3 linked regions of the Pelodiscus sinensis genome follow. The protein of the gene in region 3 purifies or fractionates together with the protein of the main gene of each other region. This does not show direct contact. Links are inferred from orthologs where the notes say so. Each region holds a gene or a part of one and is shown on either strand. Other genes may lie near its edges.

Region 1 (9,891 bases), on a different chromosome or scaffold from region 3:
GAACTCCAACCCCTGTCACTTGAGACAATGGAAATGGGAAGCAAGGAAACTGTAGCAACACACCACCCCTTTTCATAACTCATTTTAATATTTAATTCAAAACATCACCGCAGTGCACTTTAATACAAAATACTTGATTTCCAGAAGATACTTTGGTAGCAAATTAGAGTGTCAAAGTGTGCCCATAAAAAGCAAATTCAGTTCAGTCAGCTTAGCTCGGTGTTTCTTAAACTATGTTCCGTGAACAACTTTCAGGGGTGCTGCAACCTTTTCTTAGTTTTTGTCTTTTTGTGTGTGACAATTTTTTTTGAAGAAAATTCTTAGGTGTTCCGCATAAAAAAAAAATACAGTATTTGGTGTTCCATGGTCTTAAAGTTTAACACACACTGACTTAGATGTTATTTCCACCTTGCATATGATTCCAGAGGCTGAACATCCACCAAAGCTACAGACAAATACCTAAATGCCTTTGAAAGCACATGCCCAGGAAGACACAAAGTATTAAATGGAATTATTACAAATGCCAAGATTAATAAAAGTTGCACAACTCCTTATCTCAAACTCATCCCTAGAACATGATGAAAATATCAAATGTGTTAAAAATGAAGCCTGAGCATCTGCTATGGGCAATTAAGGAAACATGTAAGAAGAGTCAACCAAAAAAAAAAATCTCTCCATTGAGCAGTATGTAGAGAGAAAATTAGGGGATTTAACAACATAGATGTGCAAGGAACAGCCTAAGCTAGCTAGAGATAGTAGAGCCTCAGTTGTACTCTAAGCGATTTGAAAGCATGGGAAAGATTCAGATTCCATCTATTTATGAAAGGGAATGAATGCTTACCTCATTTGGGAAACATCCCAATTTGTCTTCTGCAAATCTTAAGTGTAACTGTAGATTTGCAGAAAAAGATATTGAAATGCAGTAGAGAAACTCAGAAAACATCATTAAAAAAACCAGGAGGAGAATGTGGAAGCCTGAGCTTTGCTAATGAAGAGATGTTAGCTTGTCTACGTAAGTCAGATTGTGGTAATGGAGCTAGGCAGTTTGGGGAATTCTATATTGTACAGAAAGTCACAGGCATCAGACAATTAAATACACATTAAAAAGCATGAATAAAAATGCCAAAACCCCCCACCGGATTTATCTTTTACAATTATCTAATTAGTTTCAGGGCTTGGGACCACAAATCTAAACAGCAAAAGCCCAACAATACAGCAAGGATTGCAAACAAGTACTATTTTGCTTCAAGGTCAATTTCCTCTTCACTTACAGTTTTTAAAGCAATTGTTCACATCTGAGTTGACAGGATTTCCTGTCAGTTAAACTAAAAATGACAAGACTTCAGTTATAAAAACAGAAACCTCATTCACCACAAAACTTAAAATTCTGTAAATCAGGAAACTCTTTTTCTTAGTTACTCACACAGTGACCTGTGGAACCAACATAATAACCTAACACTGTCATTTGCTCAGTCCTAGGTATGACGAATAAGAATGGCATTCATGGGGACAGGTCACCTAAAAAGTAGCTTGATGTACTTGCAACTATAACTGGTAAACTCTCAAACTATCTGCTATTTATTTTTCTCATGCTTATAAATACAAGTAATAGCAGGACGGTAAAGAACTAATTACTTCCTTAATAGCAGAGCTCCTTTCTGAAATACATACCAATCCAAAACTATGTTATCAACTTCATACTTGGTTTCAAAAATAATCCCACCATAAAGTAGTTAATCCAGTCATTCCTAACACTTGTTCAGAAGTCTTCCAGGATGCACTTTATCTTATTTGGTGAGAATGCAACTTAAGGGTCAGCTTCTGCTCAGGAAGCATTCTGATCCATATAAAGGAGTCAGCACATACTGAAACTAGTTACTAATCAAATTATACAAACAGAATAATTTATTGGCCTGATACCTAATTTAATTTTTACAGTAAAGGAATCTTAACTACAAAATATAGGTACAAGAGAGTTCAGAGGATTGGTAATGAGAAACAGAGCCCATCACCTTTCGCTGCCAGACTGGAATCCAGTTTTGTTAGAAACCAAGTCTGATTGGTCCGAGCAGCTATCTGAAATGATTTGGTGAGGCTTAATCCAGATCCTTAATAAAGACAAATCCCACATCCCAGACACCACCACAATTATTTTTTTAACAGTCTGAGCAGAGAAGTCAAGCAGTGAATGGGGAGAATGAACTTGTCTTCTCCACATGTGGTAAAGCAGTCACTATTGATGTACGTTAGTGATGGGTGCAAGCTTGTGCCCTTTTTGCAGGTGGAAGACCCAGGCTATCATGCGCTTTTCTCTAGGTGACCTTGGAGAGATCTGCACAACTCCACCTGGTATTTTCTAAGATGCACAAACTAAAACTACTATTTCTCCTGAAGATCACTCCCAGTCAGAGACCATCCAGCTCACCTCATACAAACACATACTTGCTGTAGGCTTAATTTGAAAACAAGTCGTTTTCTTGCTTTCATCTTCTATATAGGCATTTTAATAAAAGGAATAATCTGGGTTAGGTCCCAGTGTGGCTGATGACAGTTATTTTAAGCATTTTTATATCCGTTTGGCTCAATTAACTCACTTCAAAACATACTGTCCTACTTGAAAAATTGTTTCAGAAATGGGATGAGGCAATGGAACATTCTCCTTCTATATAAGGTTCTCTATCCACTTCTGTCTGCAACCCGTATTAGGTAACTAAATTTGCTTCCAATGTTTTTAACAATCCACTATAAACTAAAAATTACAACCACCACTACAAAAATTATCAGGTCCCACAGAATCCCTTTTCTTAAGCTGCTAAACTAGTAGGTCTGTTGGTGGTGCAATATGCAAATGTAGTACCTGCAATCGTACTTCAGGTTTTTTCAGATTTCAGGATCTGATTAGAACCCCATAAGCAAAGAGATAGCAATCTTAATCAAAATTAAAGCATAGTCTGGGACATGCTTTCATTTTTTATGTTTGCTGCTTGCTTTTCTGGGTTTTGTAAATAGCACATACAAATGAGAAAAGTATGAATATTTGTCATGTAAAAAGAGTGTGATGTGATTAGAACTCATTAAGTTGGACCACAAAAGGCAGATGAAAAGGCGAGATGGATTTGGATAATATTTTAGGGATCCACGCATTTTTAGCACTTTAACAGATGTTAGAATGTAAATTATAATATAAATGAGTCCTACCTAGGAGTAGGGACATTAATTGAATAGTTAATGCAATTTGCATAGACTATTTGATTAATTGATAAGGGTGCATCTGCCTTTGAAGTGTAGCAACACCCCAAGGACTATTGCTACACTTCAAAGGCAAAAGCACTGTGGGGAGCATGGGTCCAGTGGAGGACTCAAGCAGTGCCCCGCTGGCCCCATTCTCCCCATGGCTTTTCAAAACAGTAGTGCCACGTGGAGACTGGAGTCAGACCTTGGGCTCCATGTAGCGTTGCTGCTTTGAAATGCCATGGGGAGCCTAGCATCAGGCATCACGCAGCATTTCAAAGCAGCAACACCACATTGAGCCCAGGGTCAGCAGGGCAGTCCCCGGCTGAACCTGGGTTCCATGTAGCACTGCCCCAGGCTGCACACAGTGCTGCCACTTTGAAGCACCCCTGCCATTCTCTCTCTCTCTTCCCCCCCCACACCTCTTTCTGACAGGGGGAGGGGGAGAAGGGAATGACTAATCCACTAGTGTGTCCACTATCTGATAAGCATTTGTTTATTGGATAGTTGACTAGTTGGGCACATCCCTACCTAGGAGCATTATGGAATACCGCAGAACAGTTACATTATACCCTTTATACCTCTCCAACTGTACACATTTTCAAATTGCGCAGAGCTATTTAACCTCGTCCAATCAGTCTCTGTGAAACATTCATTTCCCAAAGTTTTGAAACACAAGACCCCACTCCCTGGGAGTCCATGGAGCCAGCAAAGCCCACACTGCGGCCGAGGCCCAGGGCTGTTCAGACCTGCCATATAACCCAGGGCCACGCAGAACAGTAGAACGAGCGAGCAGCCCCGGGCACCTCGTGACTCACTCAAATGCCCAGAAGCACGAGCCTGGGCCAGGAGAGCCCATTGCGGGGGGGGGGGGGGGGGGGGGGGGGGGGAATGGCCTCGGGCCGAGTCTATTGCGGGCCCCCCCCCCACAAGCGCACGAGCCCCGGGCCCAGCCCGTTGCGGGGGAGGGGGGAGGAGCACGGGTCTCGGGGGGGGAGGGGCCCCCACAGGCGCACGAGCCCCGGGCCCAGCCCGTTGCGGGGGAGGGGGGGAGGAGCACGGGTCTCGGGGGGGGAGGGGCCCCACAGGCGCACGAGCCTGGGCCAGGAGAGCCCATTGCCGGGGGGGGAGCGGCCCCGCCCGCAAGGATATTGCCTCAGCAGCGCCTCCACCTCGGGGCCCGGGTCCGGCTCCGCCGCCGCCGCCTCGTCCGGCTCCTCCACGAACTTGTTCTCGTCGTACTCGTCGATGTCCAGGCGGCGGAAGCGCGAGGAGAGCGTGTTCCGGGCCATGCCGGCGCGAGCCGCCCGCCGCCTGCCGCGCGCCGCTTCCGGGAGGGGCGGAACCGGAAACCCCGCCCCCCGGGGGAGTCTGCAGCAGCCGGAAGGACGAGGGCGGCGTGCGGCTGTGAGGCGGGGACGCGGGGAGGGGCGGGGCTAGGCGGCCGTGGGGGCGGGGCGGAGTGCGGGGGGCGCGGGGGGGCGGGGCCCGGCCGCAGGGAGCCCCGCCCCGAGCGCTGCCCTTGGCGCCAGGCCAGCTGTTCCCCCGCGGGCAGGGAGCCGGAGCGCCCCCCCCCCGGGCACGCGCCCTGGCTTGTGTCTGCGGGGGGGGTCCGGGTGGAACCGGCAGGCCCGTGTCCCAAGGGTCCGGTTAACACCCGGCTGTGTCCAGACGAGCCGCTTTTCCGGAAAACCTGCCAGCTGCCTACACGGCCGCCTGGATTTCCGCAAGAGCACGGACTCCCCACTGTCTGAATGGGGCTTCCTGCGGGAATGCCGGCTGCTCCCTTCGGCAAAGGCCCCTTTGCGCAAAGCTTTGATTTGGTTTCCACAAAAAAGCCCCGATGGCGAAAATGGCGACCGGGGCTTTTTTGCAGAAAAGCGCGTCTAGATTGGCAAAGACGCTTTCCACAAACAGTGCTTTTGCGGAAAAGTGCCCTGCCAGTCTAGACGCTCCGTTCCGAAAATACTTTTAACGAAAAACTTTTCTGTTAAAAGCATTTCCGGAAAATCATGCCAATCTAGCCGCAGCCACGGAGACAATGGGAGTGTCGGGTATTTTCTAAATCCGATGCAATGTAGATTGTGATGCAATGTCACATGTGTCCGGTAGTTTTGTTGAACTCATCTGGCAACTCTACGTGGGGGGGTGGGCAGGTTAGAATAAAAAAGTTGAGAACCACATTAAACCATAGCAAGCGTAGGGCTACGGTAGCCCAGCTCCTTACGTGGCCAGGTCCACATACCAAATATTTTAATTACATGACAAACCATTTCAACTCTGCCCTCCTTTTAAAGTTATGCTACTAGGTTCAACCATCTCATAAATGGACATTTCCTTTTAAGATATGGAAGAAGGTGGTTTGTGACTTCTTGCAGCTAGATTTATGAATGAAGAAATTACATGCTACTCCCCATTGCTGAGGTTCTCCCCACCCCCAAGCTGTGTTTCAATTCCAATAAAAGTCTTCATTTCTCCTGTCAAGCATTTCAGTTTGCTTCTCTGTTCTTGAGAAAATGAATTGTGCCTTGGAGATACAAGAAAACAGTTAAGTTCATGACAGTCTAACAATAATATCAATGCAATCAAGATCAATTGATTTTTCCAACATTTTCTCATGCAAACTTTTTTTTTTTTTTTTTTGTGTAATAGAGAAGACATAATTGGACACTGTAGAGGGATCAGAGAAGCCACCACTCAGGTACAGTTTTATCCAAGACTTGAAAACTGTCATTTTAATACAATTACTGCCCTAAAAAGAACCTGCTGTAAATGAAGTGTATCTACTAGATTAACAGATCAGTAAATGGTATCACACTACATGCATGAGCTGAGATAGTGGCAGCACCTAGAATAATCACACCACTTCTTCCATAACAGTTTACAGAAATACCATTTGGAGTTGAGCATTACACAATTGAGGGGGTCAGTCTAGAACAGGGTTTCCCAGCCTATGGGTCAGGACCCAAATATGGGTCTCCATTACATTTCAAAAGGGTTGCCAAGTGTCTCTGTCCTCCTCCATTTTTTAATTGCCTTGGGTCACCAAGTCTTCCTGATTGTCAAAATGGGTCCCCAGCTACGAAAGGTTGGGAACCGCTGGTCTAGAACAAGGGCAGGCAAAATTCGGCCCACAGCCTGGCCCACCAAACCACCGCATCTGGCTGCCACCGTCTCACAATTCAGTGGGAGCCTTGGGGAGGCTCCCTGCCTGCTGTTTCCCTGCACACTGCTCACAGCAGCTGGTTGTGGGGGCCATGTGCTCTTTGCATGCTGTCCCCACCCCCAGCACAATCTCACAGGTCCCATTGGCTGCAAACCAGCCAATGGGAGCTGCCTGGGCCATGCTTGTGGCATAGGCAACACCCTGTCTCCCAAAGGATGCACAGCTTACAAAGAGCATATTGTCCCCACAGCCAGGGGCTTTGAGTGGCATGTGGGGACATGGTCTGCAGGGAGCCTGCTAGAGTCCCCCAGTGGGTTGCTGGCCTGGAGCCACCTAAGGTAAGTGCCTGTCAGTTAGCACCTCTACTGGACACCCCCCCCTCTACTACATCCCAATTCAATGCCCCAGGTCATAATCCACCCTCTGTACCCTTGTCCCAGATCACAATTTTCTCTTGTACCCATCCTTGCTCCTGGACTCTGCACTCCATTTTCCTACCTTGAGCTCTCTTCTGTACCCAACCGCTATAGCAGACTCTACCCCTCTTTCGTTAATCTCATGGAAGAGTACAGCCCTTGACCACTTACCAAATTCTTAGGTGTGCTCCCCCCTCAAAATTATTGTCCACCACTGACCCAGAAACAAAGTTCCATGTTTGAATGGTGTTAGGACATAGGTATTCAGGCCTATTTATTCTACCAGTGAAATACACAGAGACGTTTTGGAATTACAGTTCATCTGCAAGTTCAGTTCTCATGCTAATGGGCTCAATTGGGACGAGGGATGGCTGGGCCATTACCAACCAAACATTCAATGAAGGTGCAAACAGCTCTTTAGGTAGATTTTTGTGTTAGTATCCCCCCCTACTGACTTTGATCCTTATCTGCTTTATTTTAACTATCCAATCTTCAGGTAATTACTGATTGCCTATTCTGCCTTCCTGTTTTTCCCTTTGATTTTTTCATAATCTCTGCTCCTTGTTTCCTACCCTCCCCCACCTTTCTTTTTTTCCTTCCCCCTTATTTATTTTGGGTCTGCACATCCTAAACTCAAAACTCTGGTTATCTGAAGAAGTGGCCTGTACCCACAAAAGCTCATGATACCATCTACAGGTTTTGTTAGTCTGTAAAGTGTTACCAGACCAGTTTTTAAGTATAAATATACAATGTAAGACAGAATTGGTGCAAGAGGAGTTTCAAGTAAACAAAATTAATTTTAATCACATATCAAGACGTAAATGAATTTCCAGTGTTCCACAATTATAGTTGTCAGATTCACATTCTTGTAAAACAAAAATCCTCCTCCCCAACTCCCAAATTATTCCAAGATTCAAGGCATGGATATTTCAACTGTTGACCCAACAAAGCTAAGAAAAGTCTTCAGAGAATGTGTGTGCTTCTATTTCAGTTTATACCATTTACAAAATTATAGAAATCAAGGTCCAAATCCAAGAAAAGTGCACTTGTGGGTTTCTGTACCACATGTGAGATCAATAGGAATCCAATGAGTCTACCTGTCCCATGATCCTTGCCAGATCTACTTATAAATTTAGTACCTTGCTCTTCATTTATATGAAGTCAAAAAGATCAGATTGTTAAAGAGTAAGTTATCCTATGAAAAGAGCATGTATGTTCAAAACTACATAAACTGTTTTACTTTTGCCTGGCTTCACCAGAATACTTCTGAAATGTTAGGAAAGTAGTGACAGTGAAAGGGAAATAGCACATTCTTAAATCCCAGTGAGATTGTTAACTTGAGCCATTAGAGATGCTATAAATATACAAACTGTAAACTGAGTAAGAATGCAATAGAACCCTTTGGTAGTGCCAGGACTTGTTCCATACCTGTGACTTATAAGAGTCTGTCCAAAAAGTTAAATTATGTTTCAAGACCGCAGTCTTGGACTCAGAAGTGTTTTTACTTGCACTCAAGAATTAAAACTTATAAATTAAAATCTCAACATTTTCTTTGGTAGGAACCTGTTTACCCACTGCCAACTCTAATTGCTTTCCAGCTGTTGAATCTTTGCTGACACTATTAGATGCTTAATATTGCGATTTTACTACTGTGGCTTTTTCCAAAATTTCAATATGGAATTAGGTATTTTAGGCACAACTGCTTAAGTTCTCCTCTGAAAAGTAATTTCAAGAGTGGTTTTGTGGACTTCCCTATTTGTTTCTCATTGACCTCTAGATCAAATCCATTGTACAAATATCCCTTTTACCTAAAATCAAAGCCAAGATTGGTGTGGTATTCAGAAACAACCTAAGCTATTACAGTTACAACAAGGTTAAACAATGTTGTTAATTTACAAGCAAGAACAGGACCCAGCTCGTGTCTCTGCTACATTAGTATTTGCAGAGTCAATAACAGAAGTGACAAGCAATAACTTATTTTAGTATGTAAGTGACATCTATCCAAGGAGTGGCTGTAATGAATCATGTCATTTCTATACATTCAGTTTTCAGAAGAGAACCACTCTTTTAAAGTTTGTGTCCAAAACATAGTATCGTAACATTAAGATCAGTTCTATAATTGATAGCCAAAGTAGTTCTTACTGAGGAGGAAAGAAGACATGCTCACATCAACAAAGTAGGAGTTTTATTTGCAATATTTAACCTAGGAGGTGGGTTTCATTTAAGATATGACTTTATTAAAAATACAAGATATGACAAATCAGAACAATTATTATAATGTACAAATTCAATAGCTGTAGCAGTTTTTTGTATTTTTATTGGAATCCTTAAAAAAGGGGGGAGGGAGAGACAGCCCTTTAGACCATTTTATTTTCTATTCACTTAAAACAAGATCTAACAAGGACAATTGAGTTTTACATCTTGTACGTGTGTACACAGCACAATGCATTTACAGTCCCATCGTGCACACTAGGCAATAACTTTGCTGCTGAAATTTCTTTAAACTTACCAAACAAAAACCTGAATGATATAATGGGATCAAAATAGTTCCGATTATGATTTTTTTTTGTAAAGGGAAAAATGTCTCACCTGAAAACAGAACTATACAAGAACTATGTGCAGCAGAATACATGTCAGACATTTCACAAGCATTCTCAAATGAGGGAGGGAGGGCACATGGAGGGGGAGGAGGAAGTCTAGACACACTGCTACAGACACCATAATACACAATACATTTAGATAATTTAAAAATAAAAAAAAAGGCAAGAGGCAGCATTTCAGCAGCAAAGTGCTCAATAAAAAGGATATAGAGGGATAGTACAAGGGAATGGGGGAACAGTAGGAGGGGAAAAGATCTCAAAGGAAATACGGTGTTGTTGTTCTAGGAGGAATTACACGTTCTGAGTCTGGAACTGCACGGAACAACTTTGGTTCTCTTGTATTTACATCTTTAAAGACCATGATTGATGCAATATTTCCACAACGGTAACAGTAATTTGGAGCAGACCATACTGTTACCAGCTTCTCATCAAACATGAATTTATAGCCTTCATGTACTAGCTGATGTGCTCTGCAGAT
Region 2 (10,495 bases), on a different chromosome or scaffold from region 3:
TTCAGTAGGCATCTGTCATGGGTCTAGTACTAAACAACCTTTGGTTAATGATTTGGATAATGAACTGGATGGAGACTATGTTCATAAAATTTGCAGATGACACAAGGCAGGAGGGGTTGCAAGCACTTTGGAGGACAGGATTACAATTCAAACCGAGTTAGACATATTGGAGAATTGGTCTGAAATCCACAAGATGAAATTCAATAAAAATAAGTGCAAAATTCTTCACTAATGAAGGAAAAATCACATGCACAGCTACAAAATGGGAAATTACTGGTGAGGCAATGGAACTGCTGAAAATTATCTGGGACTAATTACAGGATCACAAACTGAATTTGAGCCTAGAGTGTGATAATCTTGGAAAAATAATATTCTTGGGTGTTGTAACTAGGGATGTAAAAACCACCCAGAATAGTTTAACTAGTTAAATGGTTTGTTTAACCAGTCAACCACAAGCTGCGGGTGAAGGGAGCTGCTCTGGGCCATGCTCGCTGCAGCCATGGCTGGCATGGGCTGCTCCTTCCCCACCACAGCTGCAAGTGGCAGGGACTGCCATAGCTCCACCATGGATGACAGGAGCTGCTCCAGGCCCGCAACGTATCATGGCCCTGCTGACTGGGCTGTCATGTGGGGGAAGCTCTGGCTAACTGGTTAGCTGGTAAAGATGCTGGTAAGGCATATGTTGACCGGTTACCTGGTTAACCTTTCATCCCTAGGGCTGTGTCTACACTGGCATGAATTTCCGGAAATGCTTAAAACGGAATACTATTCCGTTTTCAGTTTTTCCGGAAAAGGAGCGTCTACATTGGCAGGCTGCTTTTCCGGAAAAGCCCTTTTTCCGGAAAAGCGTCTGTGGCCAATGTAGACGCGCTTTTCCAGAAAAGAGAGCCGATCGCCATTTTCGCGATCGGGGCTTTTTTCCGGAAAAGACTACTGGTCTGTCTACACTGGCCCTTTTCCGGAACAGTGTTCCGGAAAAAGGACTTATGCTCGATTGGGAGCAGAATAGTTTTTCCGGAATAGTGGCTGATTTTGTACAGTAGAGCATCATTGCTTTTCCGGAAATTCAAGGGCCAGTGTAGACAGCTCGCAGCTTATTCCGGAAAAGCGGCTGATTTTCCGGAATAAGTGGCCCAGTGTAGACACAGCCTAGCTGTAACAGGTGTGAACTTGTATGTAAGACACAAGAAATACCTGGCATTTATGCATCTCCTCATTTAGTTGTCATCATCCTGAAGTTCTTGCCTATTAAAATGCATATATCCCAGAATCTCAGAGCTGGCATTTCACCAATTTGCACAAGGCAGGCAGAGTAAGTGCCCCTGCTTAGAGGCAAGAGATCAATGGTCGCTGGGTTTGGAGTTGGTAAATCTGAGCAAGCTCCCAGGTAAGCTGTCTGACTCAGACAGGCTTGGCACAGGTGCCCCTACATTCAACCCAGATTGCTTCCAACCCAAGGCTCTGCCACTGAGGTCATCTCAGCCCCTCTGAGTCTAGGGGGGCACAGAGCCAGAGCCATTATCTCGGGGGAGGGGGGAGCCTAGATGCAGACTGACCAAAGCCAGCCTAAGTGGGCTTTGCAGGCCCCAGTTCGGGCCTAGTTGGCCCAATGTAACCCCGTCCCCTAGTCATTCCCACCCTGCCTCACAGGCTGGACTATACAAGGACCAGCTGATGTCAAACCATTGCATGTCCCAGGACCCACCTTTTATTGGTTGCTGGTGAGAAGGGGCGGTGCTTGTTGAGGCACCTGAACTACAAATAGCAGCAGCCGCATCCCCTACTCCCCTTTCCTCTGTGGCTTGGTGTGGGAGGTGAGTGTGGTGGAAGATGGGCCCCAAGCTGCTTCAGGTGCTGGGGGTGGGTCCTCCTCATGGGAGCCAAGAGGAGAAGTGAGGATTGAGGTGTCCTGGCGAGGCTGGGGACAAGCCTTTTGCTCTGGTGGTGAGGGGATGGATCAGGTGGGTCTGAGGTGTCCTGCTTGGGGTGGAAGGTGGCAGCCATGGCGGGAGGGGTCTGACCTGCCAGTGCCGGCTGCAGTGATGATTCTCCTTACACATTAGAACTTCTGACGTGGATGAAGTGAAGCTGAGTCTGAGCCCCCAGTGTCAGGTCCCACGGGCCCACTTTGCCCACAGCCTGTTTCTGCCCTGTGGGGCCTGGCCCCATCCCCACACATGCATCAGGCCCACGCACTGGGGCTGCAAACCTCACCAGACTCCTCCTCTTCGCAGGTACCTCAGGAGCCAAGTGGCGTCCTGCTGCAGTCCCTGGAGAGCTCCCGCCTGAAGCGGCCTAGTGCCCACTGACCTGCACTTATAAACAGCAACAAAATGTCTGAGCTGGTTTCCTTGCTGAGCTGCGTGGCGCTGCCTTTGAGTGGGTGCAGTGTCCCATTGACAGCTGCACGGGCTAAGCAGCGGTGCAAGCAGAAAAGCTTGTTTGTAACTGGTGTTTCTTGGCTAAACCCAGGAACATCAGGATGGGACTGGGGCGATGCTGAGAGCTCACTTGAAGATCATCCTTAAACTGACCCAGTCGGCCCTGCTGGGTGCAGGAGTGGGCTGAAGGTAGGGGAGAGGGTGGCCTAATGGATAAGGCATCAGCTGAAGGTCCTATTTGGAAATCATGGGAGGGTGGGCAAAGCCCGCCCACCTTCTAAAAGCCCCTCCCCAGCCTTACGGGAGGGACACTGGACCCATGTCCAATTAATTGCTTGGGACAAATAATGACAAAAGGGTCAGGGAGTGCGGGCTAAAGGTTCAAAATAAGGGAGCCGGATGGGGACACCGAGCAGAAAACCCCGGACAGCGCCCACTGCTCCTCAAAGCTATCGAAGGAGCCAGTGGATGCCGCCCAGAGGAACTCTGCCCGGATTCGTGAAACCAGGGAGGAACGGAAATAGGCCCCACAGTCGCAGAGAACCCCCTCGTCCAACATCCTGCTCCTGGTATTATAGATGGTGGTCTTTGCTAGGGCCAGGAGCATCAGCTGAAGGTACAGTGGTGAGGTGGGTCCCAGTGATCTAATGGATAGGGCATTAGCTCCTGCAATTGTGGGTTCAAGTCCCACCTGTGTCCCCACACACCCAAAGGCTAGAGCACCACCACCATCTTCCTGCTGGTGAGGAAAGAAAAGCCTTCAGGGGAATGGCAACCTATGGATATGCAACCTGGAGGCTTTCCCCACTGCTCCTGTTAGTCGGTGCTTCCCCCCATCCATAGAACCTGGCCAAGACCCCTGCCAGCTCTTGCACCCTCCATCCTGATCAGACACCCCTACATCCAGCAGGGCTGTCTCAGGACAAGGTGGAGGGCAGCTCCACCTCCTCCAGAAAAGGCAGGGCTGAGGGAAGTCAGTCCTTAGGACTGGCTGAGCTTGGTCCAGCCCCAGCCAGGTAAGGTAATTCACCCCAGAGCCCCTCACATACTTTACTACCGTTCCTTGCCTCTTGCACCCTCCCACACACCCTGAACCCCTCATGGATCCCAAACCAGACTCCAATGTTTCATTTATGCTATTATTCATCATGTCAATTATCAATAATATTAAGTTGTATATTTTCAGGCATTCTTATATGGCTCTTGACCACTTATTCTGAATGTTGATGTAGTTTGGCTCTTTGGTTGGAAAAGTTTGCCTATCCCTGCCTCATCCCCTACCCTTACAGGATTCTGAAAGTCGAGACCCTGCATTCGCAAGATTCTTTCTGCTGCAAGCCCTTTCATTTGGAACAACATAGCACAGTCCTACTCTTCTGTATTCCCACAAAATTACAAACCTTGATAATCATATTTCAGCTGTCCTGCATTTAATATAAACATAGCTGGTGTCGGGTTACAAATTAAGTTGATTACGATGAGCAAAATACCACTCCCTATGCTGAATGTCCCAACAAATCTAAGCAAAGCAGAAGCAAACTGTATTGACGTAGACCAGTGGTCCCCAACCTTTTGAGGCTGCCGGGCGCGTCTGGGGGTGGGGCTGTGCATGAACCATGCACCCAGTGGTGGGGCCGCACCTGTGCCATGTGTCTGGGGCTGACGCCGCGCGCCTGGGGCAGAGGCTGAGCATGCACCACATGCTCGGGGTGCAAGAATGGCTTGGGCCGGCCCTGGTCACTCAATGGGTGCACATAAATGCCCCAGCGGGCGCCATGGCGCCGGCAGGGACCACTGACATAGACCCAGGGTCTCTCCCCGCTTCCAGCTAGCTGTCATGGACGCATTCCTTCAGATCTTACTTATATCAAGACAAGAAGTAATGGGCTTAATCTGCAGCAAAGGAGATTTCAGTTGGGTCTGAGGAAAACCTTCTATCTATAAGGATAGTTACACATGGGAATAGGCTTCCAAAGGTGGTTGTGAAATCCCTGTCACTGGAGCTTTATAAGACCCTGGTAGACAAACACCTGTCAGGGACGGTCTGGGATTCTTAAACCTGCCTCAGCTGGAGGAATGGACTAGATGACCTCTTCAGGGTCCTTTCCAGCCGTAATACGTGTCTATGACTCTGCGCTGGTCAGCATTGCCCTTCAGCAGAGGAGTCAGTTGAAACTAGAGATGGCGATGCCGGGGGAACGATGCTGCAGCCCCGAAAATGCTGGTGCCGGAAACACCCTCGTTGTCCCAAAATGAAGGTGGTGGTAATTAGGGTACGGCTGCACAATGTCAGCTGGGATCCCTCAGCAGAGCCTGGGATAAACCCTGCCACTTGCTAGTTTTTTCCTTCCCCGTCCTCTTCCCTACCAGTCTGCCTTCTGCTTCAAAAATCAAGCCAGCCAAGCCTCTGCAAGGTGGGAGGCAATGAGAGTCCCAAGGCATGTGAGGAATCTTGAGCCCTCATCCTTATTCTGCTCCCTCTCTGCATTATCCTCCCTAATTCTGCCTCCCAACCCTGCAGCAATTACCTGCACTCTCCACCTCCCTACCTGCCACATCAACCTGGGAACTCCATAATGGCTAGATGTCAGCAGGCAGGAGCTGAGAAGGAAGACAGAGAGTCCACCCACCTGCCTGGAGCCATCATCCTTAGTGGCTTGGAGGAGCAAATGCAGCTTGCCTACACCTCTGCTGCAGTTCTAGACAACTACTTACTGTATTTTCTTCACACAACACACAGTCAACCAGTGGAACTCATTGCCAGAGGATGTTGTGAAGAGCAGGACTTTAACAAGGTTCAAAAAAGAGGTAGGTAAATTCATGGAGGATAAGGATAGCCTGAATTTGCACAAATGGTGTCCCCAACCTCTGTTTGTCAGAAGATAAGAATGGGGGACAGGGATTCCCTGTTTTGTTCATTCCCTCTAGAGCACCCGGCATTGGCCAGTGCTGGAAGACAGAATATTGGGCTAGATGGACCATAAGTATGGCCAGTCTTATGTTGTTATGTTTAAAAATGTGAACCAAAGAAGTCTGATTACTCAAATATTGGTTATGAAAGTTGATTTTGATAAATTATTATAACTTATGTGAATGTTGTACTGAAATCTTAAGCAAGTGCATCTTGGAAAAAATCCAGATCTTATTTTTTTTCCTCCCCAAACATGTTGCGTTTCCTTCCCTTTGCCTGAAAGTGACACATTTCAAATGCTGAAGCCTACATTCCACTTCTAAAATAGATACTTTCACCCACGAATGCATGTGTTTAATTATCAGTTTTGCGCAATCCATGTTGTGCACGTGCTGAGACCTGTTTGCATATGCTTATGTAATTCTGACAGGCAGAACCAAGCCTGGGACCTCTAAAGCTTAGTGCATGAGCCTCTACTGAGTGAGCTAAAAGCCAGCTGCCTTTCAGGTAAGGTTGTAGAGTAGACTGAGTCTCTTCGTAAGTGGTCTAGCTGCCTCTAGGTGGGACAGTAGACCACACACATACACATTTGCATTTTGAAACTATGGCCAATCATTTTTTCTTAATACTTAAAAGCAAACAATGTATACAAGGGATGTAAAAGCCCTTTTAACCAGTTAAATGGGATCCCACGGGTGGGGGCCCCTGAAGCCCGGCCAGGCTGGAGCAGCCCTCCCCCTGTGGTGTGTTGGGCCTGGCCAGGATGGAGTAGCCCCTCGCATGCATGGTGTAGCACAGCAGACCTGGCTGGGCTGAAGCAGCCTGACCAAGCCCAGCAAGCCTTGGGCTGCTCCAGCCAAGCAAGGCTGAGACCACTGCAGGCAAGGGGCTGCTCCGTCCAGGCCGGGCCCACTGCGCCATACCAGATGGGGGAAGGGGCTTCTCCAGCCTGTCTGAGCCACCAGTTAACCAGTTACATCTCTAATGTATATTCAGGTTTTCCTGAAAACTTCCCACTGTTGCTCTCACATTAGTAACATTCCACTAATATTAGAGAAGTGTAAATTGATCACTGACCTTTTCGCTACTAAGTCCTCTACTCCCAATTCAGAGATGCTCAGATGTATTGGTGAAACTGCTAGCAATTTATTTGCACTGGAACATGTTGTACCTGCATTCAGCTGGAGTACAGGTGGGAGATTTCCTGAAAACCTTCGTTGTAGACAAGGCCCTAATAGTTTTGCATTCATAGTATCCAAGCTCCTGAAAAACACAGTTGCTCTGTAATATATCTGGTTCAGCTGGTTTCATCCCTCTCCCAGTGAAAATCATTTTGTAAATGTAATACTGTATTTAAATGCAATTTCAGTCCTGTTGCATAATGTGTAGTTGACCTAATTACATATCTTTAATCTGTACAACTAAATGAGTTTTCTAAGCAGTTTTCTAAGGGATAGCATATCACTCTAATCTTCCCATCCCACCACTCAGAGTTGTTCTTTTTGCACTGCAATTTGTTGGCTTTCCAAATGCTGCTTTTTATAAATGTGGTGGTAGTGTTGCCTAGAGAATAGAACACTATTACACTGAGACAGCTCTGCCCACTAAGCTGAACTTGGGCATGTCACTTTAACCGTTCTGTGCCTCAGTTTACCCAGCTGTGCAAAAGGGGTAACAATGGCATTCCAGTTTGATTTACACTAATCCCTAGCTTTTACACAGCTTGGTAGGTCAAAGCCCTTGGCAAAGGAGGTCAGAATTCACACAGCTGCTGGATCAGCCTGTGATCCTGGCCCAAACCTCTGCCTCAAGCCATCACACCTCCCAACCACCACCTTGGAACTGGCTCTGCATTGAACAGTAACCAGTCCGCAGTACGCATGTGCAACTTTCATCTCCAGGACTGACCACTGCACATGTGCAGCTCTCCCCTTCAGGCTAGCGACACTGCGCATGCTCCCTCCTATCTTCCTCCCTTCCCTCCTACCCCCCAGCGCCTTTGCGTAAGGAGAATTCTCGCCTCAACACGCTCCAGTTCTACGCGCAGGCGCAGAGTGCGGGGGGACCCTCCTCCCCACTCCCGGCCCGTGCGCAGGCGTAGTGGCAGGATCTTACCCCGCCCCGATTCTGCGCGCAGGCGCAGAGGTAGGAGCTGCCCGTGGCCAGTGCGCAGACTCCAAGGCCATTTCCTGGATCGCTTGTCAGTGCCGGGCCCCGCCGGCCGCTCCCTCTCCCGCCGCCCGGAGCGGAGTCGCGTTGACTGACCAGAGTCCGCGAGTCCCGCTCCGCTGCCTCCTCCCCTCCCCCCTTAGGTAAGTGCCGGCGCCGCGCTCACCCCGAGCCCTTCCAGGCCCCCTCCCCTCAGCGAGTACCTGGGCCCGCCCACTTGCCTCACGCGGGGGGGGCGACGACCGGACCCCGCCCCCTCCTCCCCATTCTCCTTGCGGCGGGGGGGTTCGACTGTTCCCAACGGCTGCGGGGTGGGGCAGGGCACTGCCGAGCGGCGGGGCTGACCCCTCCCCCCCCCCCCCGCTGTCTCTCCTCCCTCCCCCCCCCCACTCACCGGGGCCGAGGTCTCGGCGCACCTGTGCGGGGAGCCGCGGGGTGCCGGGGCCAGCCCTCCCCAGCGTCGAGGGCGAGCCCCGCGCGCCCGTGGCAGGAGCAGCAGGGGCACAGCCTGAGCGAACAGCTTCTCCTGCTGTAACGCCGCCTGTATCCGGGCGGGAGGGTCGTTAGCCCCGGGAGAGGCCGACTTGCAGGGGCAGTGAGCTGCAGACACCGCCCTTCCAGGAGGGATGCTAGAATCTTTGTCGCCGTGTCACCCCTGAAATTGTCAGTCTTTGCGTCGGGTGGCAGTCGGCTGCCCTGGAGCTGGGGTGCAGAGGGGGAGCCAACCAGCATGTTGCATGTACTGGTTCCCGCCTGCCCCCCCCCTGCACTGCTGCCTCTGATACAGCGACAGCAATGCAGGGTGGCAGGCTGCTCCCTGAGAGCCGGCGTTTAAGCCAGCTCCCCCACAGGAGCCTGCTTGTAGGTCTCATTGGTTAACTGTCTACATCAGTGGTCCCCATCCTTTTCAGGTTGCCGGGTGCCAGGGGGCGTGGCCGTTCGCCCGCCGGGCGCCAGGGGGCGGGGACACTTGCCCGCCCGGGGGCGGCCCCCCCCAGCCGCATGCCCGGGGGCGGGGCCCCCCCCATAGCCACGCACCCGGGGAAGGTGCCCCCCGGCAAGCGCCGCGCGCCCGGGGCCGGTGCTCCCCCCGTAAGCGCCGCGGGGCCGGGGCCGTGGCCAGGGCACGCGCGGCGCCCCCGGGGTGGGGCCAAGGCCGGAGCCGGCCAGGGCACGCGCGGCGCCCCCGGGGCCGGGACCGGCCATGCGTCCGGGGCTGGCACCTGCCAGCCCAGATTGCTCCGCGGGCGCATGTAAAGAGCCCGGCGGGCGCCATGGCTCCCGTGGGCACCGGGTTGGGGACCACGGGTCTACATGATTGCACTTTCCACTTTCACATCCCTACCTTCCAGGTGACTTATGTGATCTGAAAGGAGATTGGCGGGGGTTAAAAAATATTTGTTTGGCACTATATCTGGATTCTCAGGCAGTATTCCTACTCCATGGTTGTTGGGAATAGCCCTGTAGTGTATTTGCTGTCTTAATTAGGGAATGACAGCAGCCTAATACTCTTCACCCTGTTATCTCCCCCCTTCTCCCTCCAAAAAGGAATCTGATACTGTATTAAAAACATAAAATTCCCAATTTTAAATTTCCAGTTGATATTGGAAAGCAAAGATTATTACTCTGCAGTTATATTCAGTAGCTATCTGAGGCCAAGTGCCTAGATAACAAGGTTAACTAGGGTGATATATTTCCTGTGGGGGATTCTCAAATTAGTCTGACAGGCAGGTATTGGTATTAAAAGTATTGGTAATAGGGATGTAAGCGATTAGTAGTCGACTATCCAATAAATATAGTTGCTTCCACTCCCCCTTGCTGCCTCTGTCATAGAAAGGCAGCAAGGGGGGGAACAGGAGCCGGTGCTGGGGGGTGCACCGGTTCCCACTGTGGCTGCCTTTATGAGAGGCAGCAAAGGGGGAGAACAGGAGCCAGTTCTGGGGATGCCACCGGTTCCCCTCAGCGCCATCTCCAGGGTGCCACCTACTCCCCCTTGTTGCCTCTATCAGCTCTGGCTGCCACAAACAGGGGTTGGTGCCAGAGCAGCCTCTATTTGTGACAGCCAGCCTTGTCCACCACGAACGGAGGCTACATCAACACTAGGCCCTGTTTGCAGCAGACAGGGCTGCTGGGCTCAGTGTGAGCCGAGACCGAGCAATACTGGCTTTTGCTGATTGTTGTGCCTCTGCATTTTAAATGTAGTAAGAGCCTGACAGCTCTTACTACATTTAAAATGCAGAGCTACAGCACAGGTGGCTCCTGGAGTCAGCACGAGCCAGGACTGCTCAGTCCCGGCTTGAGCCTGCTCCTGAAGCTACCCCTGCTGTGGCTCTGCAGAGCAGTCCTATCGACTAATTGGATATTCGATAGAATTTGTATCGACTATACAAATAGCTGGATAACCTCATTTTAACATCCTTAATTGGTGGTTGAGAACTGCACTAAACACCTATCAGTAATATCAAAGTGCCAACTTCACTAAAATGTGGATTAGTGTCTTTGTCCTTCAGTGAGCTCTTTGGTGATTAGGAAGAGTATGATTAAAACATTTTATTGAATTGAATTTGTATTGAATTGTTCTTGACTCTCCTATAAGTTGAAAGTTAGGAAGAGGATATTATAGTTATCAAATATTGGTGAGAAGTATTCTTTGAGAATATTTTCTCCCAGCATTGCTTTCTCTTGTGATTAGTTGGTCATCCAATACAGAATGCTTGTCACTAATACAGGTGATCCAATGTCTGTCTTATGAATACGATTATTGTGCCAGAGAAATCTAGTTATTTGGAAAGAATGGATGATACCTTTTCTCTTGATTCACTGAATGGGCATTTTAAGTTAATACTGTGTTTGGGGGAGTTTTTCTAAGGTGAACTAGAACTGTTTTTGTATTTGAGCATCTATTTTTTCATACCAACCTGATGTGTAGTCTGAAGCTTAGAAGTAAAATCTGTGGGCTAGATGTTACTTTTTCCACAGAAGAACTACATGCTGGGGAACATTATCAGGATTGTGCTAGAAACAGTGTTTTGAA
Region 3 (10,386 bases):
GCAGTAGGATGCAACAATAATTTTTTCAAAGGAGAGAACAGATCACTATTCAAACAGGCTTCTAATGTGCTATGTTAAGCAAGAGAGTGTGCAAATGCAGACTTGGCGACTAACCACACAGACAGTCTGACTGAAGGAGCGCATAGCTCACAAAGGTCAGTGTGGGTACTGGCAGAGGTATGCACAGGTATCACCTCATCTCAAATTTTGAAGGATAAAGATCAGCTACTTCAAAGCTTAAAGCCTTACAGGACAAAACACTGCTCTGTAATCACTGGGGACTATGTACAGGTTTGCCCGAGAGGGGTAAGATAGCATCTCATGTCTGATACAGCTTTCAGAGACTGGTGTCACATCCTGGGCAGGATCAAAGAGGGAAGCATAGTCTAATGGTTAGACTAGGTGACTGGGACTATTCTATTCCTAGCTCTGACACTTACCCATGTTTAGATCTTGGCCACAGCACCTCTCCAATTGTTAGTATTTCCCCTCATTTGTAAGGTGGAGATAGAAACCTGTGACAGTGAGTTGGGGTTCCCCCAATCCTGCACCCCTGTAGCAGCAAGAACAGACTCCGCCAGACAGTAGAACAGAGAAGGATTATTGCTTCTCCGAGGTACAGCACAGCACAGAGGTTATGTGGTTTTAGGAGTCAGGGCCAGGATGCCTCAGACCCCATGACCCTCAGCTAAGGCTGTTTCCTTCATGTTTCCCAGCCAGCCACTGCCTCACTCTCCGACCCTGCCCCCAAACCAGGTGTTCGTCTCTGCCTCCCTCCCTTGGGGGGGGGGGGGAGCCTTGTTACCTGCTCAGGCTGGGCCTAGGTGTCTGGGCTAATACACATGTGGGTGAGCCAGTGGGAATCTCACATCACAGCGTAGGGGGACACCGGGTTACAGAGCAGACAGCCCCCCCACTATGTCACAGAGACTTGTTCATAAAATGCTCTGAGATCCTCAGCTGAAAGGCACAACAGAAGTTCAGTGCACTGGGATGTGGCACGACCAAAGAAATGTAGTGCACATATCCGGAGTCTTGCTTCATTACATACAGTGTGCCATAACCTCACAGACTTCCTCTCTGCTTTGCAGCAGACACACGGCAAGCATTCACCTTGCTGGCCTTGTGGAACTCAGAGAGAATGATAATGTTAAGTCCAGGCTTCAAAAATCCCACTTACCCACTCAGCTATTGCAAGCCCTGCCTGGACCACACAGGGATCTAAGCCAGCAATAGTCTAAATAATGCTGGCTAGCATATTTCGTTCTCTGGCTAGCATTCAGACGTTTGTCCTAACCACCAAAAGCGTGCTCAGTGTGGTTTGAGACATGCTGACTGCCCAGAGACGCTTCCATTTGATTCTACTACAATTCCTGCTAACGGGATTTAAGACAATATAACTAAGATGATTTAAAGCAGACTCTTCAACAGAAGCACCCCAGAGAAACTCTGAAACACACACCCTGCAGTGTGCCAATAGCTCTAAAACCATTTTAAAGGTGTGGGGATGAAAGAAAGCAGTTAACATTAACATTTGCTCCCAGGGCTGCTCTCTCACTGGAGGGCACAAAGGCTGAAGTGTTCCGATGAAGAAAATGCAACAGTGTCCGGCAACAGAGGCGTTCAAGTGACATGTATGCAGTAATAAGTGCAATACATTCTGTGGCAACAGCTTTTAAAGGCCCTATAAACCCAACATTAAAGATGGCATGGCTGCATTTTTGTCCTGGCTGCCAAAGGCGTCACAGATTCCATCATTTCCACAGGTTTTTCTTTATAGGGAACATGCAGGAATTGACATTCTGGAATTCTCGCATACTGGTGGGTGGATGTAATGAACCAGCAAGAACCTCATGCAACTTGGCAGCTCTCATGGTTTGAGTGGGAGACAGAGAGAGGGGCTCAGTTATATATGAAACCAGATCAGTAAATTCTTCTCAAGAACTAAAGATCTTCCAAGGGAAGGGAAAGATTCTTTTTGGCAAGAAATACAAGGCCTGTCAAGTGCTAGCCAACCTGTCTTTTAAGATGCTTGTCAAAGTGATCGTTTCCACAGGAGTAAAAGCAACTCATGTTCTGCAGGATCACATCTTTACACAGTACACATCTCAGAGCAGGGACCTTGCTGCCCAGCCTTTCTAATAAAGTCCTATGTACACAAGTGAGGTTATAAATCAGGGGTGGGGAACTTAAGGTACGGTGGCCAGATGCAGCCTCCTGGCTTGCCTGGATTCTGTCCCCGAGGCTCAGGACTCCCCCCTCTCCCATGCTGGCACCACAGGATTAGAGCACACAAAATCTACTAGACCAGCCCCCTCCCCAGGCTCTGGTGTGCAAGGGGAATGCAAATAGTGTCAGTTCACTGGGAACCAGGTCAGAGAGGGTTTGGGGTTTTTTGCTCTTCTCACTTGTGTATGGCCCCGACTGATTTTTCTGTGGGTCAGCGGCCCCCCAACCCAAAAACGGTTCCCTACTCCTTCTATAAACATCTTCAACTGGCAGTAAGCTGGATTTCAGAAGTCACTTCTAATTCTATAAAAGTATTTCAGGGCAGGTTCTGAAAGTTTTATACATGGTGGATATTATCCATGTTCTAGAGCTGGGAAAACAAAGCTAAAGTAAGTGACACCACCAAGGTCATACAGCAAGCCAGTGGCAAAGCTTGAACTATGACCCACGCGCCTCATACCCAGTCCTGTATCCTAACCATTACACATAACTGCCTCTACACTAGTTGGTATTCTCACACCTTTCTACGCATCTCAGGACTTGCTCAAGTTATTTGGAAAAAAGTGGGAAAACGATTACTTCCAGTAAGATGCCCTAACTTGATTCTTTTCCTGTTACCAAAGTCTCGTGATATTGCCCTCATCACAACCATCCTAAAATGCCTCACAAGACATTGCCTGAAAAAACAACAGCTAAAATGGAATAAAGCAAATGCCATCCGTGCCACCCATAGATCTTAAGATCCCACCATGGACAAATATCCCTTTTCCAAAAGGACTATTTGATCTGAGGAAGTGGGTCTGGCCCACGAAAGCTCATCATCTAATAAACCATCTTGTTAGTCTTTAAAGTGCTACATAGTCCTGTGTTTTGTTTCAGCTACACCGGACTAACACGGCTACATTTCTAACACCAGAGTTGTGCTTTGACTTTGAACAACAGAGCACATTTTGAGATCACAAACTAATAAATGTATAGACTGACACCCACTCCATGTGACTTATGAGACACATGACAGCTTGAAAAAGACATCCCTGAATGTTTCATATCCTTGTCTTGCCCCTGTTCTTGTCTGAACAAGAGCGCCTTAGTATCAACTAAAAAAAAAAAAGCAGAAGTTACAACTTCTTCTCTTCTATCACCATGAGCAAGGTACAGCAATAAAGTCTGTTTGATTCACTTTGAACACACAAAAGCAATGCTCAGATTAATATAAAGCAAAGGCAGACAGCATCAGCAAACCAAGATACTGAGATAAGTAGAACCAACTGTTGGGTCCTGCATGCAAGGAAGGTCAGTGCAGAAGTGACGCTTCCTTGTAGGGCAGAATGGAAACCTGCAACTGTTACAGAATGAGTAAATGGTCATCTTCGGGTAATGTGGCAAACGAATGTCTGAAGGCTGTACTTTGCAACCTCAGCTGTAGTCATGTTATTAGATAAGAACAGTGATACACGTCCTCCAAGCTGCCTCCAACAGGAAGAGCTCCCGAGTGTGAAGCCTCACGACAAATGAGCAACTCAGACACACACAACCTCCAACAGACAGTATTTTGCTCGAGAAGGCCAGGCGGTAGCTGCGCTTTCACAGGGTCAGCGGAGGACTGAGTGTAGAACATGGTTGCCACATACTGGGCAGGACCCTTTGCATTAAATGCTTGGAAGAGAAAAGCTGTTTAGACCTATGTAACGTGCAGCCCACAAAACCTCATCAGGCTCTAAGAAAAGCCGGGGGGCTGCGCCGATGCCTCTTTTATCCCCAAGCGCCCAAGGACGACAGAGGAGCGTGTCCCTTTGCAAGAGGCTATTGAACCATCTTGTTAGTCTTGACAGTGCTACACAGGCCTGTTTGTTGTGTCCGCCGCACCCGACTCACACGGCTACGTTTCTACCGCTATTGCTTTGCACGGCCCAGCCAGCGCCTGGCTGGCGGGGGGAAGCCGACAGGAGCATGCCCCGCTTGGCGCAAGCCAGCGCTGACCCGCGCACCCCCAGTCACCCAAGAGGCACAGACTAGAAGTGAGAGAGACCAGGCCGGGTCCCCCCCCCGCGGAGCAAGCACGGCCGGGCCCGCTCTGCGCGGAAGGGAGCCGCGCCTGAGCCCCCCCCAGCCTGAGCACAAGCCCCCCCCCCCCCGGCAGCGCAGGACCCGCGGGCGGCCCAGACTGGGGGGCGGATCCCACCTGCCCCGGGGCCGGTGACCAGGCGCGGAGAGGGGGAGGGGGCCCCACCCCGCGAGGGAGGGGGAGGGGGCCCCACCCCAGAAGGGAGGGGGAAGAGAGGGGGCCCCACCCCAGAAGGGAGGGGGACCCCCCCCGACCCGACGCCCCCCCGACCCCGGAAGTGCCCCCCCGACGCCCCCCCCGGCCCCGGAAGTGCCCCCCCCGGCCCCTCACCCGGCGGCCGCGCTCTCGAACTTGAGCGCCAGGGTCTCCTCGATGATGCGGTTGTTGACCTCGAGCAGGATCATGGCGGCGCCGCGGGGGGGCGGGGCGGGGGGGGCCGGAGGGACCGAGGCCGGGGAGGGAGCCGAGCCCGCTGCGCGCACCGGGGACCCGCCCGAGCCTGCGCCGCCGCTTCCGCTCTGGGCCCCGCCCCCCGCGGCCCGCGTCACTTCCGGCCCCGGCCCGGGGGCCGCTGCGCGCGCCGCCTACGGTTGGGCGGGGCTGGGGGGGCCGCTGGTGCGCGTGCGCGGGGCGGAGCGTGGTGCCTGCAGAATCCGAATTCGTGCGCGCGATGGGCCGGTGTGCACGGGATCCCGGGAGCCTGCCGAATCCGAATTCATACAGGGGATGGGCCGGTGTGCACGGGATCCCGGGGAGCCTGCCGAATCCGAATTCATACAGGGGATGGGCCGGTGTGCACGGGATCCCGGGAGCCTGCCGAATCCGAATTCATGCAGGGGATGGGCTGGTGTGCACGGGATCCCGGGAGCCTGCCGAATCCGAATTCGTACAGGGATGGGCCGGTGTGCACGGGATCCCGGGGAGCCTGCCGAATCCGAATTCGTACAGGGATGGGCTGGTGTGCACGGGATCCCGGGAGCCTGCCGAATCCGAATTCATGCAGGGGATGGGCTGGTGTGCACGGGATCCCGGGGAGCCTGCAGAATCCGAATTCATACAGGGATGGGCCGGTGTGCACAGGATCCCGGGAGCCTGCCGAATCCGAATTCATACAGGGATGGGCCGGTGTGCACAGGATCCCGGGAGCCTGCCGAATCCGAATTCATACAGGGATGGGCCGGCGTGCACGGGATCCCGGGAGCCTGCCGAATCCGAATTCATACAGGGGATGGGCCGGTGTGCACAGGATCCCGGGAGCCTGCCGAATCCGAATTCATACAGGGATGGGCCGGTGTGCACGGGATCCCGGGAGCCTGCCGAATCCGAATTCATACAGGGGATGGGCCGGTGTGCACGGGATCCCGGGAGCCTGCCGAATCCGAATTCATGCAGGGGATGGGCTGGTGTGCACGGGATCCCGGGAGCCTGCCGAATCCGAATTCGTACAGGGATGGGCCGGTGTGCACGGGATCCCGGGGAGCCTGCCGAATCCGAATTCGTACAGGGATGGGCTGGTGTGCACGGGATCCCGGGAGCCTGCCGAATCCGAATTCATGCAGGGGATGGGCTGGTGTGCACGGGATCCCGGGGAGCCTGCAGAATCCGAATTCATACAGGGATGGGCCGGTGTGCACAGGATCCCGGGAGCCTGCCGAATCCGAATTCATACAGGGATGGGCCGGTGTGCACAGGATCCCGGGAGCCTGCCGAATCCGAATTCATACAGGGATGGGCCGGCGTGCACGGGATCCCGGGAGCCTGCCGAATCCGAATTCATACAGGGGATGGGCCGGTGTGCACAGGATCCCGGGAGCCTGCCGAATCCGAATTCATACAGGGATGGGCCGGTGTGCACGGGATCCCGGGAGCCTGCCGAATCCGAATTCATACAGGGGATGGGCCGGTGTGCACGGGATCCCGGGGAGCCTGCCGAATCCGAATTCATACAGGGATGGGCCGGTGTGCACGGGATCCCGGGGAGCCTGCCGAATCCGAATTCATACAGGGATGGTCCGGTGTGCACAGGATCCCGGGAGCCTGCCGAATCCGAATTCATGCAGGGGATGGGCCGGTGTGCACGGGATCCCGGGGAGCCTGCCGAATCCGAATTCATGCAGGGGATGGGCCGGTGTGCACGGGATCCCGGGAGCCTGCCGAATCCGAATTCATGCAGGGGATGGGCCGGTGTGCACGGGATCCCGGGAGCCTGCCGAATCCGAATTCATGCAGGGGATGGTCCGGTGTGCACGGGATCCCGGGGAGCCTGCCGAATCCGAATTCGTACAGGGATGGGCCGGTGTGCACGGGATCCCGGGGAGCCTGCCGAATCCGAATTCATACAGGGATGGGCCGGTGTGCACGGGATCCCGGGGAGCCTGCCGAATCCGAATTCATGCAGGGGATGGTCCGGTGTGCACGGGATCCCGGGGAGCCTGCCGAATCCGAATTCATGCAGGGATGGGCCGGTGTGCACGGGATCCCGGGAGCCTGCCGAATCCGAATTCATACAGGGATGGGCCGGTGTGCACGGGATCCCGGGAGCCTGCCGAATCCGAATTCATGCAGGGATGGGCCGGTGTGCACAGGATCCCGGGGAGCCTGCCGAATCCGAATTCATGCAGGGGATGGGCCGGTGTGCACGGGATCCCGGGAGCCTGCCGAATCCGAATTCATGCAGGGGATGGGCCGGTGTGCACGGGATCCCGGGAGCCTGCCGAATCCGAATTCATGCAGGGGATGGGCCGGTGTGCACGGGATCCCGGGAGCCTGCCGAATCCGAATTCATACAGGGATGGGCCGGTGTGCACGGGATCCCGGGAGCCTGCCGAATCCGAATTCATACAGGGATGGGCCGGTGTGCACAGGATCCCGGGGAGCCTGCCGAATCCGAATTCATGCAGGGGATGGGCCGGTGTGCACGGGATCCCGGGAGCCTGCCGAATCCGAATTCATGCAGGGGATGGGCCGGTGTGCACGGGATCCCGGGAGCCTGCAGAATCCGAATTCATACAGGGATGGGCCGGTGTGCACAGGATCCCGGGAGCCTGCCGAATCCGAATTCATACAGGGATGGGCCGGTGTGCACGGGATCCCGGGAGCCTGCCGAATCCGAATTCATACAGGGATGGGCCGGTGTGCACAGGATCCCGGGAGCCTGCCGAATCCGAATTCATACAGGGATGGGCCGGTGTGCACAGGATCCCGGGAGCCTGCCGAATCCGAATTCATACAGGGATGGGCCGGTGTGCACGGGATCCCGGGAGCCTGCAGAATCCGAATTCATACAGGGATGGGCCGGTGTGCACGGGATCCCGGGAGCCTGCAGAATCCGAATTCATACAGGGATGGGCCGGTGTGCACGGGATCCCGGGAGCCTGCAGAATCCGAATTCATACAGGGATGGGCCGGTGTGCACGGGATCCCGGGAGCCTGCCGAATCCGAATTCATGCAGGGGATGGGCCGGTGTGCACGGGATCCCGGGAGCCTGCCGAATCCGAATTCATGCAGGGGATGGGCCGGTGTGCACGGGATCCCGGGAGCCTGCCGAATCCGAATTCATGCAGGGGATGGGCCGGTGTGCACGGGATCCCGGGAGCCTGCCGAATCCGAATTCATGCAGGGGATGGGCCGGTGTGCACGGGATCCCGGGAGCCTGCCGAATCCGAATTCATGCAGGGGATGGTCCGGTGTGCACGGGATCCCGGGGAGCCTGCCGAATCCGAATTCATGCAGGGATGGGCCGGTGTGCACGGGATCCCGGGAGCCTGCCGAATCCGAATTCATGCAGGGGATGGGCCGGTGTGCACGGGATCCCGGGGAGCCTGCCGAATCCGAATTCATGCAGGGGATGGGCCGGTGTGCACGGGATCCCGGGAGCCTGCCGAATCCGAATTCATGCAGGGGATGGTCCGGTGTGCACGGGATCCCGGGGAGCCTGCCGAATCCGAATTCATACAGGGGATGGGCCGGTGTGCACGGGATCCCGGGAGCCTGCCGAATCCGAATTCATGCAGGGGATGGGCCGGTGTGCACGGGATCCCGGGGAGCCTGCCGAATCCGAATTCATACAGGGGATGGGCCGGTGTGCACGGGATCCCGGGAGCCTGCCGAATCCGAATTCATGCAGGGGATGGGCCGGTGTGCACGGGATCCCGGGGAGCCTGCCGAATCCGAATTCGTACAGGGATGGGCCGGTGTGCACGGGATCCCGGGGAGCCTGCCGAATCCGAATTCGTGCATGGATAGCACAGATAGGCTGATGTGCTATGAGTGAGCCTGTGTGCACGGGATCCACATAAGCCTACAGAATTCAAATTAGTGCATGGAGTCTGTTAGCCTGCAGGAGTGCAGGGGCCTAGTGCAGGGGGCGGACTTGTGGGCATAGGATCCCCCATAAGAATTTTTGTTTTTGGGTGGGGTGGGGTGGGGTGGGGTTGTGTGGACAAAGGGGATTCAGTGGATATTGTGTACTTGGACTCTCAGGCTGTAAAGCAAAGGTGCTGTGGAGTGAGAGAGAAAGGCTTTTCATGGAACAGTAACTGGTTAAAAGACAGAAAATTGGCTAGGAAGAAACCGCCCATTTTTCAGAATGGAGAGAGGACTGGAGTACACTTCAACTATTCATAAATAATCTGGAAAAGGGGGTAAACAGTGAGATGGCAAAATTTTCAGATGATATAACATTGCTCAAGATAGGCAAGTCCAAAGCTGACTATACATTGTCACAAAGGGGTCTGACAGAACTGGGCCACTACGTGGCAGATGAAGTTCAGTGCTGACAAATGCAAAGTAATACACGTTAGAAACCAGTACCCTAACTACACACACGACATCATGGGTCTAAATTAGCAGTTTAGGAAAGAAATCTTGGAGTCACTGTGGAGAGTTCTCTGAAAACCTCCACTCTGTGCAGCACCAGTCAAAAAAGCCAAGAGAAAGTTGGGAATCGTTAGGGAAGGGACAGAGAATAAGACAGAAAATATCACTTTGCTTCTGTATAAGTGAAACGTGCATTAGTACGCAGGTCTGCTGGGTTCCATTTAGCATCCAGGAAGCATAGTCACGCACAGGGTCAGCTTGTGTGCACAGAATCAGTATTAGTGCACACATCTGCTGGGGTGCCCAGAATCCCAAAGAGCGCACAGGTTCTTGTTCGTGTGCCACCACAATGCAGCATCAGTGCATGAGATCTGTAGCTATGTCCAGGATCCATATTATTTCAATGCTTTCATTTGTATGCCCAGGACTCAGTCAAGCGGCCAGGATGTGCATACAGTATGTATCCGTGTGCCCATCTTGACAGGAGGACTCCAGTCCTGCACCGTGAATCTGATGGTGCACAGAATCGCCACATGGGTACAAACCACCAGATCCACTCACAAACTTCAGAATCTGTGGTGATGCAAACGATCTATTTGTGTCAGGGTCTGCATGGCTGCACACACAACACCCACAAACCACTGGCGCTTGCCACCTGCTGGCGTGCACGGAATCGCTGCGAGCACACAAGTTTCACGCAAGTGCTGAGAAGCCACATGAGTGCACTGGTTGCCGGCAGGGATCCAGGGAGTAGATGTTTTGTTTAGATACATGGAAAATAATTGCCAGTGAAACATACAAATGTGTTAACTCTGTGGGGATTGTGATCAACATGTGCCTGAAAGATTTGAAGCAGGAGACGTGAGGAATTGAACCCAGGAGAGCCAGCACCGATCACTGAGTCCCACACAGAATCTGTTCATATTCCCAGCACACACTTCGCCGTAGTACAATGACTGTGCTTTGTGGGTTATCTGCGCTGCTTATTTGTGTATCTGGTGTGCACTGAAACCGGAGGTGTGCCCACAAACCCAGTGGCCCTGGGAGACTTGAGATCCTATCTTGCCACTGCCCCTACGCGTCGCAATGTGCAGGTTCCATGCTCAGAGCCCAACCCCCAAGGACTTTGCTGTCTATTCTATTTTTTATTTGAATGCATAAATCTCCATCTGACGGGCCACCCCATCCACACGACACACCAGGAAGCGCAAATCCGGGTGCAGTGGGCGGAGGTGTCCCCGCCCCCAGCAAACTAACCCGCCCTAATGAGCAA

What was found.
Region 1: the proteins of ARPC2 (region 3) and ARPC5L fractionate together in Homo sapiens (co-fractionation; 7 studies listed by BioGRID and IntAct, with this or other methods). This does not show direct contact. The link is inferred for Pelodiscus sinensis from reciprocal best matches to the Homo sapiens genes ARPC2 and ARPC5L.
Region 2: the proteins of ARPC2 (region 3) and ARPC1A purify together in Homo sapiens (affinity purification with mass spectrometry; 8 studies listed by BioGRID and IntAct, counting the BioPlex papers as one, with this or other methods). This does not show direct contact. The link is inferred for Pelodiscus sinensis from reciprocal best matches to the Homo sapiens genes ARPC2 and ARPC1A.

What each region holds. Positions count from the first base shown.
Region 1 is NC_134732.1:24,989,507-24,999,397, forward strand, and holds the start of ARPC5L (actin-related protein 2/3 complex subunit 5-like protein), read right to left. Parts: upstream 4,612-9,891; 5' UTR 4,524-4,611; coding exon 4,383-4,523; intron 3,608-4,382; exon of another isoform or gene 2,321-3,607; coding exon of another isoform or gene 2,282-2,320; intron 1-2,281. Other genes in the region: PPP6C (serine/threonine-protein phosphatase 6 catalytic subunit), read right to left, coding at 9,670-9,891. UniProt on the Homo sapiens protein: May function as component of the Arp2/3 complex which is involved in regulation of actin polymerization and together with an activating nucleation-promoting factor (NPF) mediates the formation of branched actin networks.
Region 2 is NC_134726.1:31,936,609-31,947,103, forward strand, and holds the start of ARPC1A (actin-related protein 2/3 complex subunit 1A), read left to right. Parts: upstream 1-5,775; 5' UTR 5,776-5,799; intron 5,800-6,369; exon of another isoform or gene 6,370-6,555; intron 6,556-7,433; exon of another isoform or gene 7,434-7,604; intron 7,605-7,855; exon of another isoform or gene 7,856-8,020; intron 8,021-10,495. UniProt on the Homo sapiens protein: Probably functions as a component of the Arp2/3 complex which is involved in regulation of actin polymerization and together with an activating nucleation-promoting factor (NPF) mediates the formation of branched actin networks.
Region 3 is NC_134717.1:1,292,271-1,302,656, forward strand, and holds the start of ARPC2 (actin-related protein 2/3 complex subunit 2), read right to left. Parts: upstream 4,779-10,386; 5' UTR 4,699-4,778; coding exon 4,625-4,698; intron 1-4,624. UniProt on the Homo sapiens protein: Actin-binding component of the Arp2/3 complex, a multiprotein complex that mediates actin polymerization upon stimulation by nucleation-promoting factor (NPF).